Linked DNA regions of Saccharomyces cerevisiae S288C. The protein of the gene in region 2 binds, or shares a complex with, the protein of the main gene of each other region. Each region holds a gene or a part of one and is shown on either strand. Other genes may lie near its edges. The genes, in order: SWD2, CFT1, YTH1 and CFT2. A codon is read from its position in the direction of its gene.

Region 1 (4,390 bases), on a different chromosome or scaffold from region 2:
AGAAAACTGCCATTAATTTTGCCATTAACAATGACTTGACCATTATACATGGTCCTCCTGGTACGGGTAAAACATTCACATTAATTGAATTGATCCAGCAATTGCTAATTAAAAATCCTGAGGAGAGAATCTTAATTTGTGGGCCTTCCAATATTTCTGTGGATACGATTCTGGAGAGGCTAACGCCTCTTGTGCCGAATAATTTATTATTAAGAATCGGTCATCCTGCTAGGCTATTAGACTCTAATAAAAGACACTCTCTTGATATACTTAGTAAAAAGAATACTATTGTGAAGGACATTTCCCAGGAGATTGACAAATTAATTCAGGAGAATAAAAAACTAAAAAACTATAAGCAACGTAAAGAAAACTGGAACGAAATTAAACTGCTGCGCAAAGATTTAAAGAAAAGAGAGTTCAAAACCATTAAGGACTTAATAATACAATCGAGAATAGTCGTCACCACTTTACACGGTTCATCATCGAGAGAACTATGCTCCCTTTATAGAGATGATCCAAATTTCCAGCTTTTCGATACCTTGATCATCGATGAAGTCTCACAGGCCATGGAACCACAATGCTGGATCCCACTAATTGCACATCAAAATCAGTTCCACAAACTAGTCCTTGCTGGTGACAATAAACAATTGCCACCCACAATCAAAACAGAAGACGACAAAAATGTCATTCACAATTTGGAAACCACACTATTTGACAGAATAATCAAAATATTCCCGAAAAGGGATATGGTAAAATTTCTTAACGTTCAATACAGGATGAATCAAAAAATTATGGAATTTCCATCGCACTCAATGTATAATGGGAAACTATTGGCCGATGCAACGGTCGCGAACAGACTTTTGATAGACCTACCGACCGTCGATGCTACGCCATCTGAGGATGATGACGATACAAAAATTCCTTTAATTTGGTATGATACGCAAGGTGATGAATTTCAAGAGACTGCAGATGAAGCTACTATCCTTGGATCTAAGTATAATGAGGGCGAAATTGCCATTGTAAAAGAACACATTGAGAATTTAAGGTCATTCAACGTCCCGGAGAACTCTATAGGTGTTATTTCTCCATACAATGCACAAGTTTCTCATCTGAAAAAATTGATCCATGATGAATTAAAATTAACTGATATTGAAATATCAACTGTAGATGGGTTCCAGGGCCGTGAAAAAGATGTTATCATATTGAGTTTAGTTCGTAGCAATGAAAAATTTGAAGTTGGTTTCCTTAAGGAAGAACGAAGACTGAACGTCGCCATGACAAGACCCAGAAGGCAACTAGTTGTTGTTGGCAATATAGAAGTTCTGCAAAGGTGCGGTAACAAGTACCTAAAAAGTTGGTCAGAATGGTGTGAAGAGAACGCTGACGTAAGGTACCCCAACATTGACGATTATTTGTAAAGAATACACAAGATGTATAGAGTATACGTCGTTATACAGTAGGTAAAAAATGTTCGTTATATATTATATCCTCTAGTATATCAATGCAGTAGCAGCAGTCATTCATCGTACACGTAAAAATCTACTGTTTCGTCTGCGGTAACAAACATCGAATATTTAGGGTTGAATGCAATTGACCTGGGGCAGGTCTCATGAGAAACACAGGGAATGAACCCTTGCGGCCTTAATACTTTGTTACTTATTGAATCAGAATGATTCCAAATGGCAATCCTACCGTCATAATCGGTTCCAAGGACGAATTCACCATCTGGTGTGAAACAAGCAGATCCAGAATCTAGAAATTCTCTCATCGGGAAGGCCCTTGTTCCTATTAGTTCGAATAATTGTTGACCTGTGAATGCGTCAAAAATTAAATGCTTTCCTATCGAGGAGCCAACTAATAAATACTTTCCATTGTTAGAAAATTCTAATTTATTCCATTGACTGAAAGTCGCATCATTAATTTTAATTATCAAGAAAGGACCCTCCTGAATTTTTTTCAGATTATATAGCCCTATTTCGAAATTCTCTGGGTTCCCCAATGCGAATACAAGGCCACTTGGATCATATGCGATACAATTTGGTACGAGACTTGGTATAATAACTTGCGGTTTAGAGATCTTCAAATCCCAAAGCCTAACGGATTCATCGTATGACGACGATAGAAACGTATCGTTCACGGGGTTCATCTTCAAATCATTCACTAGGGCGCCATGACCGGAAAAATATCTTAGATATTGGTTTGTTTCCAGATTAAGGTATTTAATGTCAAAATTTTTCATTGTAGAGGAATAGATACATTCGTTTTGTGCGTGCGTAAAGATAGCGGAGTGACAGCCATATTTCTTAGAGGCTATAGTGTCCAAGAATTTGCAGTTCGTGGCACTGTACAATTGCATTGTATCGTTGGAAGAAGAGGTCAGTAGAAACTGGCCATTATCGTCGAAATTCAATGAGGTTACGGGTCCGCAGTCTTTTTCTTGAGGTTGAAAGCTTTTAACATGCTTGAATTTCAGCAGGTTGGGCTTATTGATGGACACGGTGGTCATTGTTGGCTATGCTAAAAGGACAAACGGTGTATTTGCTTGTGCTTTGCTCGATATTTTAGTCTTGCTTTCATTTTTTTTCTTTCTTTTTTAATGTACTAGTGCTAAACTGCATGAAGAAAAAATGGGTAAAAAAAGGTATCGAATAAATGAGTGTAGGTAACAGTTAAACAGCAAAAAGAAGGAGCAAAAGAGAGTGAAGATCAGATCGTAACATATTGCAAGATGTTGGGAATGATAAGGTGGGTAGTAGAGGGGACGTTGGTAGCTATGCTCCTATCGGCAATAAGAAGGGAGACGGGAATGATATTCTTTTACAACCAGTATCAGTTGGGCGGCTGGATACATAGATATCTGTCATGGGGAGAGATGTGCTACACAAGGACGCTGAAGATGGTTAAACGTTCTAAATTTTTCAGAAAGCAGTTGAACGAGGACGGGTTTGGACGCATCAATGATAGCGGTCCAAAACGAAGGGGAAGAGATCAATCTCAATACAGCAGTAGGTTTGTAGAACTAGATTAAACTTGCGTGCATGCACGTACACACGTAAATATATTCGTACAAATAGAGTGCTTACATATATTCAGTTCAGATTATTTATTTTGTGGTGCCACAAGTTTTTTCTAATAGGATCGTATTTGATTGCTAGCAAGCTATAGGCCTTAACAGCGTTGTCTCGGGTACAAGGGTCTGCCCCCCAGTGATATGCCAGGAATTCCAGGGCATATGAGGACTCGATCTCGGGCAAATCCTCTGGTGAGCCAATTGGAAGTGACAATACGTCACCGATGAAGGTTGTGGCGAAGTCGACTACTTTGCTATCCCACTGTAGCCTATCATGGAATAGCTCTTGGAAACCACGGAGGTAGGTCCACGGACTGATGTTCTGCGGAACCAATTGAATCTTGTCCATAATGAACTGGAGCTCGTCGGCCAATTCCACTTTTGAAATGACATCTTTAGCGTTCACCCAGTAAAACATCCTATGAGTCCATGCGCTGTTGTTATAAATGTCTGTCTCGATGAGGTCGCTGGCGTAGGCGAGCTCATGTTGAAAGTCACTGAAGAACAAACAGCACCACTTTCTGTACGACCAAACGTGATAATTCTTGGAATCATCATCAATCATCAGTTTTAAGATAGGCAGCTCTCTTTTGAAGGAAGGAGACGGATGTAGCTTCAAAAGAGACTGTCTATAGGACCAGATCTGATAGTTCTTTGGATTATTCAGCGTAACTTCATCTAGCCAGTCTAATTCCTTGTTCAGGTACAAGACAGTGTCTTCGGATTCACTCATCATGTGCCTGACGATATTGAATCGGTAGTTCCATATGGTGTAGAAGGCTGGCGCCACGTCGATAATTTCGGCTGTTAGCTGTAGTGCCCTGGGTGACAGTTCGTTAAGGCTGATCAGAGCCCTTGCGAGTCCCATCAACCGCTTATAATCCTCGGTATACATAATCCTGCACAGTTCATCCTGCAAGTCTGTCTCAATGGGCAAAGGTTTAACGTCTGAATAATCGTACTCCTCCATTTTCGATGGTGTACGTTGTATCAGCACTTGATATATAATATACCATAATTAACAGTCTTGCAGTAGGTCTGCACCAACAGTTAAGGACCAATTTAACAGAATGTCAAAAGCGAAACTTTGCTGATGTGTTTTATCACGAGGCCCAATCGAAAACCGGCGCGAGCACTGCTGCAACCTTCAAAAATGAGAGAGCGCTTCCCAGCAGGTCTCTAGTTGCATATGGATAGCGTCATGATGAATATAGGTCAGCATAGGGCTCTGGAAGGCCTGGCATTATCGGTTATTGTCGCTATTGCTGCCCTTTTCTCTGCTCGTGTAAGGTGACATTGTTGTATTCCCGCTTTTTTCGT
Region 2 (7,768 bases):
TTTCTAATGGAGTTTTAGGCGCAGCAGCTCCTGTTGATAGCGACGCAAATTCGGATACTTTCGGTTTAACAAAGGAGAATTTCAACGAAGTTTTTGAGGCTATTCGTAGCTAAAGCGACTCAAACAAATTAAAGAAGAAGTTGAGACTTTTATAGTATTTATTATTTAATCTGAGGATTTGTATTATTTTTTTATATAGAATGAATAAATCAGAAAAAGGAAATTATGAAAAGAAAAGAATGAGGAGAGTGGGAGATATTTAATGTTGTTAGCTATTTATCTGTATGGAAGTTATTACCTTCTTTTAAGATGGTACAAATAGCATATAGGTGGGTTTGGTATAAAGATCATTTAGTTTTTGTCATAGATTTTTCAATTGTGCATAGGACCAGTTTATGTTACCTCTATCATACTTATATTTTTTTATATACAAATTTTTAAATTACCGATATTATATATAGGCACCGATAGTATAGCCCACCAAAGCGCCCAAATAACCTCCAACAACAATAGGAATTGGCCAATTCTGCCAATCTCTATCCCAATCCAAAGGAATGACAACACAACTAATCCAACCCCCTACAACGATAAAGATAAAATACTTCTTCCATAATCCCACTTTGAAATCACAATTAAATACAGAATAAACTGCAGGGTATGCTAAAAATGCAAAATGCAGTGACAACAGCCAGGTTTCCCACAATAAGTCCATTAATGGCGCACCAAATAATATAGTTAATAACATTGTGGGAAAGCTCAACAAAAATGTAACACCTAGACAAATAATGGTCAATGAGTAATTGATCTTAATGATTTTGTTACCGTAAACTGTGCATTTATTGAATTGTAAAACTAAATAAGCAACTTGTGTAGGAATCAAAAAACTTAGCAACTTCACCGTATTGAAATTTGAAGATACAAAAACGTAGTAATAAAGTAGTGCTACTAAATGGTATGGAAATGTCATCAGAGGGGTTTTCCTCACATACACAGGTGGACGATCATGATCTACGTTCTTTTTCTCACGATTTTGGTGCGTTGTTAATGTTGTGTCATCGGAGAATGATACGGTTTTTTTCACTGTCTTTCTAGTCCTTTTTTTAGCTGGCATATTTAAATTGGACCTTCTTTAGTGCACTTGTTTATGTTCCTGCAAAGTCTTTGATTAAAGGCACCGTTTGCACTTTTGCTTTATTTCACTAACTGTTCTTTATTTGTTTTTTTTGCTGTGCAAAAAGTAACTTTTTCCTCATCCCCGCGTTACGTAAATAGTTCCGAAAATGTACGATGATACATGCGTTATTGTTACAAATCTAGTGTTTCAAGTAGTGGTTCTTATTCACTACTCGAATGCCTAGTGATAGATAGATGTATATATCGGGCTAGTTAGCATTAAATATCCTTTATATGTATTGTTCACTTACCCTGGCATAAAGATCTCATTGAAAATTCAATATTTATGATATCTCTCCATGCTTCAAAATGCGCATGTCTTCCTGCTTTCTGCGCAATGCTTTTCCGTCTATCAATAGCTAATCCACAGAACCTCCGTATAACGTTGAAATCAAGCATAGGCCTCATAGAGTGACCCATCTGATAAAAGTCGTTGGCCAATCTTTCCATGCGAGGGTTTAAACCACCTAGCTGTAATTCTCGATCGATGATTTGTTGTTGAATCACATAAAGTCTTCTGTATTTTTCCTCACTTAAAGGAACTATCTTGAAGACTGACCCATCCACTTGGCCACCAACGTTTTGAAACGATGGCACTTGAGGAGAGCCAAATTCCTCGTTTCTTGGTAAAAGCATCATACAACTATTGGTGGAATGCAACGTGAAACTGGAGCAGTGGACTAAACGTTGACCCGAAAGAGAGTTGGGTTCATCTGGCGCATATTTTAAAACATGAACATTTCTGTCAGCATCTGTTGCCGCAAAATACATATCCCCTCCGTTCACTAAAAACTCTAGCGACATTGTTTGAAATTTCGACATACTTCTGCCCAATGAAATCATCCTGTATGGTTCTGCGTCAAAACCAATAAATTGGAACCCCTGCATAGCGTCACCAATTATCAAAAGATTACCAAAGCTTTTAGAATCCGTAACGAAAACAGGAATATCCAAAAATGCCACTGGTATGACGGAATTATCTTCTTGGATATCTCTTACTAGAACTTTTTGGCTTTGACTAATCATGAATCTTCCACTAACCTCACAAACAGTAGATACAGTACCACTGACCTCTTCTTGAAAAATTTCCTTGAGCTTATAATTGGTATCAGGTTTACCAGGTTCGGGAACAACTTCTATCACATCATAAATATGGAAAGCGCCAGTTGGTGGAGTGTCTTCAGTGGTGGCATTGGCAACACCGGCTATAATGTATTCTCTTTTCCTCTTAGTTTTTGAATTAATTTGAATCATAGAGGATCTCATTTCATTGACGACAGAATTCTTTGGAAAGTCGATTTTATCAATGACCTTCCAACTTTTTGGATTAATGAGTAAAATTCCACTTTGAAATCCTTCCGCATGAGGAACATTCTCGTCATAACCAATTACTTTTTCGCCATCTTCTCCTAATGCTTCGTAAGGAACCCGCTTGCAATAAGATACAAGAAACAATTGAGCCCTTTCATGATAGACTAGTTTTTGCAGAGTTTTGTAGTCATCAAGCACATTGCTGATCTTTATCTGTTTCAATGGTAATTTGTTACCATAGTACATATTGTCAGTAGTTAGTGTGTAAACTCTGGCGTTTTTAATATCATCTACACACATGACTGAACGCTCGCTCCAGGGAGTGACTGAAACCAATGGTATGTTTCCGAATTTGAAAATCTTCGGTGTGGAATCATCTTCTTTTATTAATATGTATGGAACGCTACCGGTTACAAATATTACCGAATAACCGTTGTAATCGGGAAAGTAATGCATGATTCTTTCGATGGAACTAACACCCTTGGCGTATGCATTGTCAGGAGCACCAGTAATAGCTAGATCATTTCTTGTAACGTTTCTATAAAATCTACTACGTCTTTGTGGTAATTTTCTATATTGGTAAATCTCTCCTCCGAAGGTTAATATTGTCAGGTATTCTTCTTTATTGTCATGGCCCAGTTTGTTTATCATTACTTGTTTAATCGATGGATCAGGGACGATCTCATCGCCCAGTTGATAAGTGCTAATGTATAAAGATTCATTTAATTGGTCAACACCATTTAGTTGAAAGATTCTGTCATTATGGTCTTTAGTAAAAAAGATAATTTGGTTATCTGCAGTAACAAATGTAAACAATAACTGTTCTTCTTGAGACTTACTCAACCCAATCAAAAATTCATTACACATATTGCTTTTCAAAATCAAACCAGATGTAATAACCATTTCATTCAAAATTTCTGGCAAATCAACTTTTAACAATTTTCTTTTATTCTTTTCCTCCAATTCAAATATCTTAATATCACCCCTTGATACGGTAACTAGTATATACGGATCCATGACGGAAACATGAATAACTTCGTAGTCAAATTTAATTGTGGTGAGACGTCTAAAATGTGTATCATATAAATATAAGTGATTGGTGGTGACTTGTATTATTCTTTTTTCTTCACCAAACATTGAAATGTAAACTGTAGTAGCATCTCTTCTTAAACGGCCGCCCTTATGAAGTTTGAAGTTATTGTCACTTTCATATATGTCACTCCGGGATTTTGTGGAATCAGTAGTTATTAAGTACCTATCTCTTCCTTTGATCTTCAGATTCCAGATTTGTGTTATACTGATAAATTTCAATGCTAATTCAATTTCCGGTTGAACACTAGTCTGTATGACGGTCAAATGAGAACCTGAACCATTTCCCGATGTGGCAACTAGCGAATACTCGTTTTTGTTTGGATTTGGTAGTCCTTTTACCACATCATCAATGGAAGATACCTTACCTACAGTTAACGATGTGATGGGACCAACATTCCTTAGAGATGATAACAGTTCGATATCGAAAGGTTGAACAGTTTCCACAGTGCCTTTGGAATCATTAGTTGTTAGTCCATTTTCAGGAGCTTCATCGGCGTATAAATCGTCCATTTCCTCATCATCGTCGTCATTGATATCCATCAAACTATTTGTACCTGAAGATGGATTGTGTGCTTCTCTTGTTTCAATGGTAGATTTCAAATTATTCAATCTGAGAACCAAAGCATTTCCTGAACCAAACCCAATAAATAAGTCCATATTTTTGTTTGAATTGGTGGCATTCAAACGTGTTATACATTTTGGATTGGAGTTCTCCTTCAAAAGATCATTGACTATAGGTAGCTTGAAAATATCGAATTTAATCAGTAACCTGCCCTCTGCTTCCATTTGGATATAGTATATATTGGATTTCAAGTCCATAAGTAGTAGTGTTTCGTCATTATTACTTCCTCCGTTTTTGCTCTTGGACGAAGGTATCCAAATTGACGTAGTGTTTTTCTCCCTGAACATAATTTCCAATGAAGAATTGTTGATAATTTTTGTTTTCTGTAACTCTTTATCAGCAAATGAGTTTAATAATACTGTCGATTGTAAAACGCCAGTATTATCTAGAAATGCCAGTTCATTGGTTCCCACAATGATAGCACCATTCGAAACAGGTACAATGGTGTGTAGATCCCAAGGCAGTTCCTTGACAAATGCTATTGTGGTTGATTCAATCTTGGTGGCACTTTCTGCAGGCTGGATATTTAATGTGAGTATAACGTATTGTGTAGGGAGTTTTGAAATGGTGGTGTTTCCTGCCCAAACAAGCTTTGGTTGGTATAAGAGCGCTATCGTTGGTTTAGTAAAATTTTTCAAGAACTGAATATCTATGATATTTTTGGCGCCTTCGTACAACTCACTCGCTACCAATACCACGCTTGGAGCCGTGAACTTGTCACCTAACTTGGTTCTCTTCCTCTTATTGAAAGTATTCGTCCCTTGGGATTTTTGATTCATGCTATGGATTAATTCACTATCGTCTATGTTCTCGTCCTCATCTTCTTCCTCCTCATCGTCGTCATTTTTATTGACATGGAAGGGTAGAAAAGCGATAATGTCATTATTGAACAGTAAGGCACAAGAACTTCCAGGATCCATTCTCAAGGTGGAAATTTTGGCCAGCTCTACCAACGATTTACCCTTGAACTTTCCTTCGTAGTAATGCAGGCTTAGGGTATCGATTGAGTTTGTTAGCGTGTTGAACTTTAAAATAGAGATTTTAGCGACGCCTGTGCATAAAAGCAGGCAACTTAACGGACTGTCTTTTTGGGGAATGAGGCCTATATCGGTGATCAAGCCATGAAACTTAAACTCATCAGTCAAATACAGTTTACCATCCCTAGTAGGCCTGTAGACAGAAAGGATATTTGTTCGCACCACTAAGAGCTCCTCATAATCTGAAGTAGTAAAATGTGTTGCTAATGAATGAGACACAACAGTAGCGTCAAGCACATCATCATATACATTCATAGGGCCAGTAGCTAGAGTAAAAAGCGAATCTAGGTTAGTACCTGATAGTTTTAATCAGTGAAGTGTTCAAGGGACGGTGATCTTCCTCAATTTACATATGATTGCTTTAACGCTGCTCTGTGAAATATGTCACCTCGAACTTACCTTATATTAAGATCACTTACTACGTTGTCTTATTGGGAGCCGACGGGATGAGGAAGCACAAAATGTCACTAATAGGGCTGGTCAGTGGCACAGTGAATCATAATATATCGGTTGAGCACCAGTTAAAGTATGAACATGTTAAATTTAAGACTCTCACTTATCAATGGTTACATTTTGGTCTAAATTTATTTATTTATGACACTATCAGGTACCTTGGTAAAGGAATTGAAAATAAATAGCACCCACACATCGCATGATGGCAGGAAATGAAAAATTACATCAGCGAACTAATGCTTTCTCGATGAATTATTCATCCATCAAAACGGTCTTTCAAGATTAATGTCTAGTTGCTTCAAAGATAGGCATAGTTTAGGTCATTTTATCAGCTACTGTAATATAGTCATAAGAACGCGAAAATGAAGGATGCTAATGAGAGTAAATCGTATACTATAGTGATCAAATTAGGCTCTTCATCGCTAGTAGATGAAAAAACCAAAGAACCTAAGTTAGCTATCATGTCGCTTATTGTCGAAACTGTAGTCAAATTGAGAAGAATGGGACACAAAGTTATCATCGTGTCCAGTGGTGGTATTGCTGTTGGTTTGAGGACTATGCGTATGAATAAAAGACCAAAACATTTAGCAGAAGTTCAGGCCATCGCAGCTATTGGGCAGGGTAGATTGATCGGGAGATGGGATCTTCTGTTTTCGCAATTTGATCAACGTATCGCTCAAATTCTATTGACCAGAAATGATATTCTGGACTGGACCCAATATAAGAACGCTCAAAACACAATTAATGAATTGTTGAACATGGGCGTTATTCCCATTGTGAATGAAAACGACACACTATCTGTTAGAGAAATCAAATTTGGTGACAATGACACTTTATCAGCAATTACTTCTGCTTTAATCCATGCAGATTATCTTTTCTTACTGACAGATGTTGACTGTTTGTATACTGATAATCCAAGGACAAACCCAGATGCCATGCCGATCTTAGTTGTCCCAGATCTCTCAAAGGGTTTGCCCGGTGTGAATACTGCTGGTGGTTCAGGTTCTGACGTTGGGACCGGTGGTATGGAAACTAAATTGGTTGCTGCAGATTTGGCAACGAATGCCGGTGTTCATACGTTGATCATGAAAAGCGATACACCTGCGAATATAGGTAGAATTGTCGAGTATATGCAAACTCTAGAACTTGACGATGAAAATAAAGTTAAACAAGCATATAATGGCGATTTAACGGATTTGCAAAAAAGAGAATTTGAGAAATTAAAGGCTCTTAACGTTCCACTACATACGAAGTTCATTGCTAATGATAATAAACACCATCTAAAGAATAGAGAGTTTTGGATTTTACACGGTCTTGTCTCTAAAGGCGCTGTTGTTATAGACCAAGGTGCGTACGCAGCCTTAACAAGGAAAAATAAGGCGGGATTATTGCCAGCAGGTGTTATTGATGTTCAGGGCACTTTCCATGAGTTAGAATGTGTTGACATAAAAGTTGGTAAAAAGTTACCAGATGGCACGTTAGATCCAGATTTTCCCTTGCAAACAGTAGGCAAGGCAAGATGCAATTACACGAGTTCTGAATTAACTAAAATTAAAGGTTTGCACAGTGACCAAATCGAAGAGGAATTGGGCTATAATGACAGCGAATATGTCGCTCATAGAGAAAATTTGGCATTCCCACCTCGTTGAAACGAACTAAAAAGTTATAGAGGATTCCCTTAATGATATTTCTTATATAAAACACTACCTTTATATTTCCAGGTTAAATAATGACACATTAAGCATGTTTTGTTTTTTTGAAGAATTGTGCAGAGCAGCTGTTTCTTCCTAATCCACATTAGTGTTCTTAACTCAAAAAAAAGGTAGTTGTTAACAGCTACTTTTTGTGATCCGTTAAAATCCTTCTATCTACTTATAAGCCCTAAATTAAATGAGTTGTGCGTATTTAAAATAAATGTATATTCAACCAAAGATTTGGATATCATCGTTTTTAACAGCCTCTAATTCTTCGTCATTTTCTATTCTGGCATGTTGTTCCTCATCCTCATTTTCATTAAAGTTCACTCGTTGACCTAACAATCCCGCAAAGAATTCATCGATTTGGTCGTCTGACCATTTGT
Region 3 (4,150 bases), on a different chromosome or scaffold from region 2:
CTAATAGATTCTTGCCTTTATATAACGGGGATCTAACCTCATCAACAGCAAAAATCGTCTTAAAACACATCTCAAAGACTAGTTCTCAAACGTCACGCTATGAACAGTACACCTCCTACGTCACCCGTCACCAGGGTTTCTGATGGTTCCTTTCCATCCATAAGTAACAATAGTAAGGGTTTTGCTTATCGCCAACCGCAAAAACATAAAAGTAACTTCGCATATTCACATCTGGTATCTCCTGTAGAGGAGCCGACAGCTAAATTCAGTGAGGCATTCCAGACAGATTATTCTAGTAAGGCGCCCGTTGCTACCTCGGAGGCGCACCTAAAGAACGATTTAGACGTATTGTTCACTACCCCCCGGTTTTACTCTCCGGAGAATTTGGCTTTAATGTTCCGTCTTTCTAATACAGTTTCTTCCCTAGAATTTCTGGATGAGTTTTTGATGGGCATATTACTTGCTCCAGAGATGGATTTTTTGTCAAATCCAAGTTATTCTCTTCCGTCTAACAAATTAGTGGGACAGGGAAGTTATTCATATGTGTACCCTATATCATCAAGTGCTTCATCAAGATGTAACAACGATTCAGGGGTTGTTTTAAAGTTTGCCAAATCACAGCATAAAAGCAAGGTGATTTTACAGGAAGCTTTGACGCTAGCATATCTCCAGTACATGAGTCCTTCAACCAATGAAAGTCATATTATTCCATTCTATGGGTTGACATACATAACTAAATCCCATTTTAGAAGACTGAGGTCCAACGAATGTGTTCCTGGCCTTATTCTTCCGAAATGCGAAATGAGTTTATATCACTTCAATACAGCAGTGTCACATAAGCTTTCGTTGATAACAAAAAGAAAAATATGGTGGAGACTTATGAAGCAAATGATAGACGCATTAAAATCTTTGAAAACAAATGGTATAATTCATGGTGATATAAAAACAGCAAATATTTTAATAACAGAAATGCATGTTCTTAATGGAGGCCATTGTAAGGATTTTGACTTCTACCTTGCTGACTTTACGTCGGCATTTCACATTAATCAAACACCAACAGATCTGAATACCACGGTAGAATACTGTGCACCAGAACTAATTGATAGCTCCTCCGATCATGTTCCTACATTTGAATCGGATTTGTATGCCGTGGGGCTTTGTCTTTTATCATTTATATCGCAGCATGAGCCTTACAACGAACTTCAGGCGTTAGTGTCGCATGGATCCTCTCCAGGTATTGGCAGTTCATCTATACAGCAGTCCCAATGGCTGATAAATGCTCTTTTGAAAAAAGATCCTATAAATCTAAACATGTTAAGAAACGATTTATTCCAGGATTGGAAGTCAGAACTAGCATTATTGTCCAGAATTCTGGTTGATAGACTTCCTCTAGAAAATCTCATAACTATACTCGATAGTAACTATATATGATAATATACATGTCTATGAAATCGAAAACCCCCAGCCATGCATAGATCAAACTTCACCGTTTATAATTGCGTTTAAACGCCTTTCCTTTTCTTCATCCATTTTCCTGGTATTTATCTCATCGTCTCTCTTAATTCTTAATTTACTACCTTCATCTGGGATTATGAACTGTGGATGTTCCATATCACATTCATCCTTCCCTAAAGGACAAAATCCGGTCATGTATCTTTGACAGAAAACCTTCTTAATATGCCGTCTAGGACAAGAACTCCCCAGAGGACAGAATCCCATTTCGTAATTTTCACATTTTGGTATCTTGCTAGCGGGATCTATGTGTAGATATTGACAATCTGGACTTTGTGTACAGTACCCGTTTTTGCTGAAGAAGACACATTCAGGCATTTTTCGAAGATTGTATTCATGTAAGTATTCACATTGGTCATTCTTTTTGCACAACCCTCGAAGCCAATGTCTACAAACAATTTTATTCTGAAATATTGGTAACACATGCTTTTTTGGACATAACGGTCCCCTCGGACATGATTTAGGGCCTTCTCTAGAATTGTAAAATTCACAAATAGGTCTGTCAGGATCGAGTGAAAACGAATACTCTTGCCTGAGGAAAGGTTCAAATTTAAAAGGATATTTTGCTGTATCGGGGTGAATTAGGCTCATTACATAAACTTATTGATTTTATTCGTCCTAGAATACTTGTTTAAGATACAGTGCAGAAATCTTTAGCTTATAATTCAGAAATGTGATATTTTGAAGCGATTGGAACAACAAAGTACAGTGCATTCTATATAATTATTAAAAGTTATAGTGGACTATTGTAATAACACTTGTTTTCCCCATATCATAACCGACGGCGCGTAAATGCATGCTCAATCAAGTTTCCGAATAAGTTAAGTTTGCCACCCATTGAGGATTAATATACACAAGGCAGCATTGAAAAACCTAATTGTTAACACTACACAAATCTCTATTGTTGTAGTAAACTGCGCTTTTTACCACTGTTACAATAGTTACTAATACACGCAAAAATTCTGGATAAACACGGCAAAATGGTAGACGTGGAAGAGAAAAGTCAAGAAGTTGAATATGTTGATCCAACGGTGAATAGGGTGCCCAATTATGAGGTATCTGAAAAGGCGTTTCTTTTGACACAATCAAAGGTTAGTATTGAACAGCGTAAGGAAGCGGCAGAGTTCGTTTTAGCCAAAATTAAAGAGGAAGAAATGGCCCCTTATTATAAATATCTTTGCGAGGAATACCTTGTTAATAATGGCCAATCTGACTTGGAACACGATGAAAAGTCAGATTCTTTAAACGAATGGATCAAATTTGACCAGGAGCTATACAATGAATTGTGCAAAAAAAATGAAAGTAAGATTAAAGAGTTAAATGAAAAGATCCAAAAATTGGAAGAAGATGATGAAGGTGAACTAGAACAAGCTCAAGCCTGGATTAATCTGGGTGAATATTATGCACAAATCGGTGACAAAGATAATGCTGAAAAGACGCTAGGGAAATCATTATCGAAGGCTATTTCCACAGGCGCCAAAATTGATGTTATGCTAACAATTGCAAGGCTGGGGTTCTTTTATAACGACCAACTTTATGTTAAGGAGAAGTTGGAAGCAGTCAATTCTATGATTGAAAAAGGTGGTGACTGGGAGAGAAGAAATAGATATAAAACATACTATGGTATCCACTGCTTGGCCGTAAGAAACTTTAAGGAAGCGGCAAAGTTATTGGTCGATTCTCTAGCAACTTTCACCTCTATTGAATTAACTTCCTATGAAAGCATTGCCACATATGCATCGGTCACAGGTTTATTCACTCTGGAAAGAACAGACCTAAAATCCAAAGTCATCGATTCACCTGAATTGTTATCTTTAATCTCAACAACTGCCGCACTACAATCTATCTCGTCGTTAACAATTTCCCTTTACGCGTCCGATTATGCCAGTTACTTTCCATATCTTTTGGAAACATATGCAAATGTTTTGATTCCATGTAAATATTTGAATAGACATGCAGATTTCTTTGTTAGAGAAATGAGAAGAAAAGTCTACGCACAATTGTTGGAATCATATAAGACTTTGTCGCTGAAATCTATGGCAAGCGCATTTGGTGTTTCGGTTGCGTTCTTGGATAACGACCTGGGTAAGTTTATTCCAAATAAGCAACTAAATTGTGTCATTGATAGAGTTAATGGGATCGTAGAGACCAACAGGCCAGACAACAAAAATGCTCAATACCATCTGCTAGTTAAGCAAGGTGACGGTTTGCTAACAAAATTACAAAAATACGGTGCAGCAGTGAGATTGACAGGGTCAGATCGTGTTTGAGGAATTTACATTATTTAGCAACGCACATAATCACATCAACATGTATACATAGTTTGGAGACTTGAGTAAATAGTAGTGAGAGGATATATGGATCGGTTCAAGTCAAAGGATTGTAATCATCCTCTTTCTCCTTTAAAACGGAGAGCTTCTATAGTTTTCAAGCTTCCATTAAAAATTTCAGTATTTAGTTCGGAAAGTTACATAATTGCAATGTCTCATAAAGGACCATGCTTCTTTTGAAAGTGAGGAATCTAAGGCTGAAAATGCCAATTCTTAAAAAGTAGTATAACCAGAAAAAGGAATCCCCATAAAAGGAAATTCATGATACGGTCATTGTTTCTTCATTTGTTTAATACGTTGTATTCGAG
Region 4 (6,259 bases), on a different chromosome or scaffold from region 2:
TATTTCCCACCTCTTCACTTTGTTGATCTGTCTCCGCATCAGGTTTATAATGTAAACCCAAGCCCATCATAGCTTTCTGTATCGCGTTCGATGTTTTACTTCTGTTTTTGAGATCTTCTGTGGATTCAGTAACATCTTCATTAGCAGTATTCTTTGGTTTATTGAAATATTCCTTCCATGAATTCCATAAGTTGGCTGCTGGCTTGTCTGTATTCTTTCCAGGATTTACAGAAATTTGGGAAACAGACTTTTTTGACTCGATGCTTTCCTGGTCTTTGATATCCTCCTCGCTTTGATGACCATTTTTATTGCTTGAAGAGTTGCTAGAGCTTCTTTTTAAATTATGAAATGTGGCCAAAAATCGTTGCTGTAATAGAGACAGAGTGTCGGCACCGTTATATATATGCTTCGGAGGAAACAAGTCGAACAATCTATCATCTGTTCTTGAGTTGAATATCAGAAAATTTTGAGTCTCTTTCCAACTCTGAACCCAATTCAAATTGAATAAATGAACGGGATTGGAATTTAGCATATCCTCAGGTATAGTCTTCAAAGCTTGATCATTCTCTTTATGCAGGTCCAAATAATCACTTAATTTAACACTGGAAAGTAACCCCGTTAAATAGTCCTCGAATTGCCACCTAATGAAATCCTCACTGCCTTCAAATTGAGAGTTTTTTGGAGTTTCATCATCATTTTCGTTCCATGTGTCTGATACAATTCCAGATATAGATTCAATCCATTTTTTATCATGACTTGACAATTGGAGGACGGGGTTCAAAGTCTTGTCCAGAATATCTACAGTGGAATTGTCTGTATTGACAAATATGTGGCACAGTTCCTCCTTTTGTTCAGCAAGCAATGTGTTGGAACTTCCAATCATAAAAAACAAAGTACGTTCTGACCGTATGTCATTCATTTGCTGCAGTGGAGTATAGGGTGAAAATAGTCCACCTTTTTCGAAAATCGGTAATGGAAAACCTAAGAATCTCAACACTGATTCTCGATTGCTTGATTTAAACGAGTCCACAACATTTAATTTCGAAATATCCTGAAACAACTGAGGACTGCCAGAATCCTGCAAATTTGACATCAAGTCCGGAATTAAGCTGATCAGACCGAACTGTAAATTACACAAAGCTTCCACGTCGTTGCCGTAAACTATAATTTTTTTTTCAAGCATAATTGCTTTCAATAAGACTAAAGCGTTTCTCTTAAAATCATGTAGTATCTTTCTCAGACATAACCCAATATAAAGACGATTTTCGGCATTTCTGACCAATGATGCAGGCGTGTAAATCGACTTCAGGTTTTCGTATAAAGACTGGATTATCTTCCTGTCCCCAAAATCATGCTGCAAGAAAAAAGCATTAGTCACAATACTAAGTTTGTCCTTGATTTGACCGAAGATTGGTTGCCTTGAGATGACTACAATTGCCTTCTGTACAGTAGATCGTGTTACATCCTTATCTTTAGTGACCAATTCATCACTCTTTATCTGTCTCGAGCAAGATATGGCAAACAAAGTCGTGTTGTCATTGATGCTATCATCACTCAGATCAGTTGCCCCGTTGGGAGGGCTCCTTTGTCTTCTTTCATCATATAGTAATGTGAAATAAGTAAATGTTTCTTCAAACGAGTGAGAACCATCAGGAAGGGCCTGGAAGGGTAAATTTGGCCATAGTTCTGCACTTTGGGTGCCCTCAGGTAAGCCATACCAGTATTCTATTTCAGGGCCTCTTTTGTGATGAAAGTCCACAAGGCAGATACCGAAGATGACTGCTTCCTCGTGTTCATCCATTATTTTGACAACAAGGTTGCAGCGAGGCAGAATGTATATGTTAGTTTGATATGGTCTTCCTGCTTGGATTCCTTTAAGGCTTCAAAATTTTCTTGAAAAGGAAACTTCGTGAATGAGCTGTAAGGATGCTTGATCGGGCCGTACATTCTTATGCAAGATCCATTATTGACTGCTCTCTGTTGGGTTAGCTTCCATATCTTCCGTTACCCGTTCGTATAATCATTACCCGACGGACAAGCATCATTTCAGCGGCTATTTTTGCTAGGCAAACCTCCTAAGCAATGATACTTCTCAAACGTTCAATGGAAGTAATAGAAGTTCAACTTACCCCATTAATAATCCACACATTAGAAGGTTGGGACAATAAAAATAAAAAGCATTAATTAGTGTAAACTTTGCTCCCAAATGCAAGTCTAAGGTAAGTTCTTTGGTTCATGGAGTTTTTGCAGTGTAATCTCACGTGCACTAGACTGAGTAAAGCGAACCTGAGTTCAAGAAATAATGATTCACCTATGACATATAGTCCAACTATACAAGCAATGAACCCTTACGGATTGAAGTCATTCAATGTTCAATGTTTGTTGTAATAAGAAATATTACTAGAAAAAGATTTTTTCTTTCGGCGGCGTTTTCCCGCTTTTCTTAAACAATCTGCAGTTTTAACATCGAATTCACGAATATTTGTTCGCTAAAGAAATAACACAGAAGATGAAATGAAGAACATACATTGAGGGCGACGAATATATATGACTTATAAATACAATTGCTGTGATGATGGATCAGGAACCACCGTTGGTTCAGTGGTACGATTTGATAACGTCACCTTGTTAATCGATCCCGGTTGGAATCCATCTAAAGTATCGTATGAGCAATGCATCAAGTACTGGGAAAAAGTGATACCGGAAATTGATGTAATAATACTATCACAACCAACAATTGAATGTTTAGGTGCTCATTCCCTTCTGTACTATAATTTTACCTCGCATTTCATATCCAGAATTCAAGTTTACGCAACTCTTCCTGTTATCAACTTAGGGAGAGTTTCCACCATAGATTCATATGCATCTGCAGGTGTTATAGGTCCATATGACACAAATAAACTCGATCTTGAAGATATTGAGATATCTTTTGATCATATTGTACCTTTGAAGTACTCGCAATTGGTAGATCTACGATCAAGATACGATGGATTGACTTTACTGGCGTACAATGCTGGTGTGTGTCCAGGTGGTTCTATTTGGTGCATTAGCACATACTCAGAGAAATTGGTTTATGCAAAGCGATGGAACCACACTAGAGATAACATACTAAATGCTGCTTCTATATTGGACGCCACTGGTAAGCCCTTATCAACTTTGATGAGGCCCTCTGCAATAATTACTACTTTGGACAGGTTTGGCTCCTCTCAACCGTTTAAAAAACGTTCAAAAATCTTTAAAGATACATTAAAGAAAGGTTTGAGTTCGGATGGGTCCGTTATAATACCGGTAGATATGAGTGGCAAATTTCTGGACCTGTTCACACAAGTTCATGAGTTATTATTTGAAAGCACAAAGATCAATGCGCACACACAAGTACCTGTACTTATTCTGTCTTACGCGAGAGGAAGAACTCTAACATATGCCAAATCAATGCTCGAGTGGCTGTCCCCTTCACTACTTAAGACATGGGAAAACAGAAATAATACTTCTCCATTTGAAATTGGATCACGGATCAAAATCATCGCACCAAACGAATTGAGTAAATATCCTGGTTCAAAGATTTGCTTCGTATCTGAGGTAGGAGCTTTGATTAATGAAGTGATAATTAAAGTTGGTAATTCTGAGAAGACAACCTTGATTTTGACCAAGCCGAGCTTTGAATGTGCGTCGTCTTTAGACAAGATACTAGAAATTGTTGAACAAGATGAAAGAAATTGGAAAACATTTCCTGAAGATGGTAAATCATTCCTCTGCGATAATTACATTTCAATAGACACCATAAAAGAAGAACCCTTGAGTAAAGAGGAAACAGAGGCGTTTAAAGTACAGCTTAAAGAAAAGAAAAGGGACAGAAATAAGAAAATTCTACTGGTGAAAAGAGAGTCTAAGAAACTGGCTAACGGCAACGCAATCATAGATGATACCAACGGAGAGAGGGCAATGAGAAATCAAGACATTTTAGTGGAAAACGTCAATGGAGTACCACCGATTGATCATATTATGGGGGGTGACGAAGATGATGATGAAGAGGAAGAAAACGACAATTTGTTGAATTTACTCAAGGATAACTCTGAGAAATCAGCAGCGAAAAAAAATACGGAAGTTCCTGTAGACATTATAATTCAACCAAGTGCCGCTTCAAAACATAAAATGTTCCCATTTAACCCCGCTAAAATCAAGAAAGATGATTATGGTACTGTTGTAGATTTTACGATGTTTTTACCTGATGATTCTGACAATGTTAATCAAAATAGCAGGAAAAGACCTCTCAAAGACGGTGCTAAAACCACGAGCCCTGTAAACGAAGAAGATAACAAAAATGAAGAAGAAGATGGTTATAATATGAGTGATCCAATTAGCAAAAGGAGCAAACACCGTGCTTCTCGTTACTCGGGATTTTCTGGAACCGGAGAAGCAGAAAATTTTGATAACCTTGACTATTTAAAGATAGACAAAACGCTCTCCAAAAGAACAATCTCAACTGTAAATGTCCAATTGAAATGCTCCGTAGTAATCCTAAATTTACAGAGTTTAGTTGATCAAAGGTCTGCATCTATTATATGGCCATCGCTAAAATCTAGAAAAATAGTTCTTTCCGCCCCCAAACAGATTCAAAATGAAGAAATTACGGCAAAACTTATCAAGAAAAATATTGAAGTGGTCAACATGCCATTAAATAAGATAGTGGAATTCAGTACAACAATAAAGACCCTGGATATCTCCATTGACTCCAACCTCGATAACCTTTTGAAATGGCAACGTATCAGTGATAGTTATACAGTTGCCACTGTCGTTGGCAGGCTGGTTAAGGAGAGCCTACCGCAAGTGAACAATCATCAAAAAACAGCGTCAAGGAGTAAACTAGTCTTGAAACCATTACACGGTTCATCTAGGAGCCATAAAACAGGTGCGTTGTCAATCGGTGACGTTAGGTTAGCACAATTAAAGAAACTTCTCACAGAGAAAAACTACATTGCAGAATTTAAAGGGGAAGGTACACTTGTCATAAATGAAAAAGTAGCAGTCCGCAAAATCAATGATGCAGAAACTATTATCGATGGTACGCCTTCCGAACTTTTTGATACTGTCAAAAAATTGGTTACGGATATGTTAGCAAAAATCTAGCCTTCTTGTATACAGCACAAATAAAAGGTTCAATTTACGTTCGTGGACTGCCCACAAAACAGTATGTGACATAAATTGCTGTGTATCTCGCACCGCTATTATCTGTATATAACATTCTAACTCACTTTTAACGATATTAGCATTATTGATTTCTTTCTTTTTCTGCTGAATTTCACCAAGCGGAAATTTTCAAAGCAGAATTTTTTCCCTAATTTGCTACAAGTGCTATTCTATCCCACAATAAAAGGAAATTGTTGATGAGTTTTAGAAGGATTAACTCTAGATACTTTGAAAATAGAAAAGGAAGCAGTATGGAAGAAAAAAAAGCAAAGGTTCCTCCAAACGTCAACCTTTCGTTATGGAGAAAGAACACGGTAGAAAGCGATGTCCATCGATTCAATTCTCTTCCATCAAAAATTAGTGGGGCCCTAACTAGGGAACAAATATACTCCTATCAAGTCATGTTTAGGATTCAAGAAATTACCATCAAACTGCGTACGAACGATTTTGTGCCCCCCTCCAGGAAAAATAGGTCACCTTCTCCGCCACCAGTTTATGATGCCCAAGGTAAAAGAACGAATACCCGTGAGCAGAGGTATAGAAAGAAACTAGAGGATGAACGTATTAAACTTGTTGAGATAGCCCTAAAGACCATCCCTTACTTCGTTCCTCCGGATGATTACAAGAGACCTACCAAATTTCAGGACAAGTATTATATCCCGGTGGATCAGTATCCTGATGTCAATTTTGTTGGTTTATTATTAGGTCCTCGTGGACGTACGTTAAGAAAGCTGCAAGAAGATTCGAATTGTAAGATTGCAATTAGAGGAAGAGGTTCAGTCAAAGAAGGTAAGAATGCAAGTGACTTACCTCCAGGCGCCATGAACTTTGAGGACCCCTTGCACTGTTTAATTATCGCAGACTCGGAAGACAAGATCCAAAAAGGTATAAAAGTTTGTCAAAACATTGTTATCAAAGCGGTGACATCTCCGGAAGGCCAGAATGACTTGAAACGAGGACAACTGAGAGAATTGGCGGAACTTAATGGTACTTTAAGAGAAGATAACAGGCCCTGTCCAATCTGTGGTTTAAAAGATCATAAAAGGTACGATTGTCCAAACAGAAAAATCCC

What was found.
Region 1: CFT1 (region 2) and SWD2 share a complex: the UniProt entries of both Saccharomyces cerevisiae proteins name them as parts of the cleavage and polyadenylation factor (CPF) complex.
Region 3: the proteins of CFT1 (region 2) and YTH1 are in contact, whole or in part, in a cryo-EM structure (PDB 6EOJ), measured with the Saccharomyces cerevisiae proteins. Residues at the interface, in NP_010587.1 of Saccharomyces cerevisiae: Val516 (codon at 3,945), Gly517 (codon at 3,942), Tyr537 (codon at 3,882), Tyr949 (codon at 2,646), Glu951 (codon at 2,640), Ser1020 (codon at 2,433), Ser1021 (codon at 2,430), Met1022 (codon at 2,427), Gln1024 (codon at 2,421), Ser1027 (codon at 2,412), Lys1030 (codon at 2,403), Glu1034 (codon at 2,391), Glu1092 (codon at 2,217), Ser1094 (codon at 2,211), Arg1096 (codon at 2,205), Lys1104 (codon at 2,181), Leu1106 (codon at 2,175), Pro1118 (codon at 2,139), Val1119 (codon at 2,136), Ala1120 (codon at 2,133), Phe1121 (codon at 2,130), Asp1123 (codon at 2,124), Ser1133 (codon at 2,094), Phe1134 (codon at 2,091), Gly1135 (codon at 2,088), Asn1136 (codon at 2,085), Leu1137 (codon at 2,082), Gly1151 (codon at 2,040), Phe1152 (codon at 2,037), Asp1153 (codon at 2,034); in NP_015432.1 of Saccharomyces cerevisiae: Ser2 (codon at 2,100), Leu3 (codon at 2,097), Ile4 (codon at 2,094), His5 (codon at 2,091), Pro6 (codon at 2,088), Asp7 (codon at 2,085), Thr8 (codon at 2,082), Ala9 (codon at 2,079), Tyr11 (codon at 2,073), Pro12 (codon at 2,070), Phe13 (codon at 2,067), Lys14 (codon at 2,064), Phe15 (codon at 2,061), Phe18 (codon at 2,052), Leu19 (codon at 2,049), Tyr23 (codon at 2,037), Ser24 (codon at 2,034), Phe25 (codon at 2,031), Ser26 (codon at 2,028), Leu27 (codon at 2,025), Asp28 (codon at 2,022), Pro29 (codon at 2,019), Asp30 (codon at 2,016), Arg31 (codon at 2,013), Ile33 (codon at 2,007), Lys55 (codon at 1,941), Val57 (codon at 1,935), Phe61 (codon at 1,923), Trp70 (codon at 1,896), Leu71 (codon at 1,893).
Region 4: the proteins of CFT1 (region 2) and CFT2 are in contact, whole or in part, in a cryo-EM structure (PDB 7ZGQ), measured with the Saccharomyces cerevisiae proteins. Residues at the interface, in NP_010587.1 of Saccharomyces cerevisiae: Lys84 (codon at 5,241), Ile85 (codon at 5,238), Thr99 (codon at 5,196), Leu100 (codon at 5,193), Ser101 (codon at 5,190), Leu102 (codon at 5,187), His103 (codon at 5,184), Tyr104 (codon at 5,181), Ala196 (codon at 4,905), Val199 (codon at 4,896), Ile1277 (codon at 1,662), Asp1278 (codon at 1,659), Arg1279 (codon at 1,656), Glu1280 (codon at 1,653), Leu1281 (codon at 1,650), Gln1282 (codon at 1,647), Gly1285 (codon at 1,638), Leu1286 (codon at 1,635), Asn1287 (codon at 1,632), Arg1289 (codon at 1,626), Met1290 (codon at 1,623), Leu1293 (codon at 1,614), Ala1294 (codon at 1,611), Tyr1298 (codon at 1,599), Gln1299 (codon at 1,596); in NP_013216.1 of Saccharomyces cerevisiae: Ile524 (codon at 4,117), Ile525 (codon at 4,120), Ile526 (codon at 4,123), Gln527 (codon at 4,126), Ser532 (codon at 4,141), Lys533 (codon at 4,144), Lys535 (codon at 4,150), Met536 (codon at 4,153), Phe537 (codon at 4,156), Pro538 (codon at 4,159), Phe539 (codon at 4,162), Pro541 (codon at 4,168), Ala542 (codon at 4,171), Lys543 (codon at 4,174), Ile544 (codon at 4,177), Lys546 (codon at 4,183).

What each region holds. Positions count from the first base shown.
Region 1 is NC_001143.9:402,218-406,607, reverse strand, and holds SWD2 (WD-repeat containing protein SWD2), read right to left. Parts: upstream 2,507-4,390; coding exon 1,517-2,506; downstream 1-1,516. Other genes in the region: ATP-dependent 5'-3' DNA helicase HCS1, read left to right, coding at 1-1,418; MCO12 (Mco12p), read left to right, coding at 2,729-3,028; RAM2 (bifunctional protein farnesyltransferase/protein geranylgeranyltransferase), read right to left, coding at 3,090-4,040. UniProt on the Saccharomyces cerevisiae protein: The COMPASS (Set1C) complex specifically mono-, di- and trimethylates histone H3 to form H3K4me1/2/3, which subsequently plays a role in telomere length maintenance and transcription elongation regulation. Involved in mediating RNA polymerase II termination.
Region 2 is NC_001136.10:1,061,074-1,068,841, reverse strand, and holds CFT1 (cleavage/polyadenylation factor CFT1), read right to left. Parts: upstream 5,491-7,768; coding exon 1,417-5,490; downstream 1-1,416. Other genes in the region: RSC3 (Rsc3p), read left to right, coding at 1-113; mannose-ethanolamine phosphotransferase GPI11, read right to left, coding at 452-1,111; PRO1 (glutamate 5-kinase), read left to right, coding at 6,051-7,337; rRNA-processing protein BFR2, read right to left, coding at 7,611-7,768. UniProt on the Saccharomyces cerevisiae protein: RNA-binding component of the cleavage and polyadenylation factor (CPF) complex, which plays a key role in polyadenylation-dependent pre-mRNA 3'-end formation and cooperates with cleavage factors including the CFIA complex and NAB4/CFIB.
Region 3 is NC_001148.4:739,962-744,111, forward strand, and holds YTH1 (cleavage polyadenylation factor RNA-binding subunit YTH1), read right to left. Parts: upstream 2,104-4,150; coding exon 1,477-2,103; downstream 1-1,476. Other genes in the region: putative protein kinase ISR1, read left to right, coding at 100-1,431; proteasome regulatory particle lid subunit RPN7, read left to right, coding at 2,493-3,782. UniProt on the Saccharomyces cerevisiae protein: RNA-binding component of the cleavage and polyadenylation factor (CPF) complex, which plays a key role in polyadenylation-dependent pre-mRNA 3'-end formation and cooperates with cleavage factors including the CFIA complex and NAB4/CFIB.
Region 4 is NC_001144.5:375,438-381,696, forward strand, and holds CFT2 (cleavage polyadenylation factor subunit CFT2), read left to right. Parts: upstream 1-2,547; coding exon 2,548-5,127; downstream 5,128-6,259. Other genes in the region: AVL9 (Avl9p), read right to left, coding at 1-1,801; mRNA splicing protein MSL5, read left to right, coding at 5,385-6,259. UniProt on the Saccharomyces cerevisiae protein: RNA-binding component of the cleavage and polyadenylation factor (CPF) complex, which plays a key role in polyadenylation-dependent pre-mRNA 3'-end formation and cooperates with cleavage factors including the CFIA complex and NAB4/CFIB.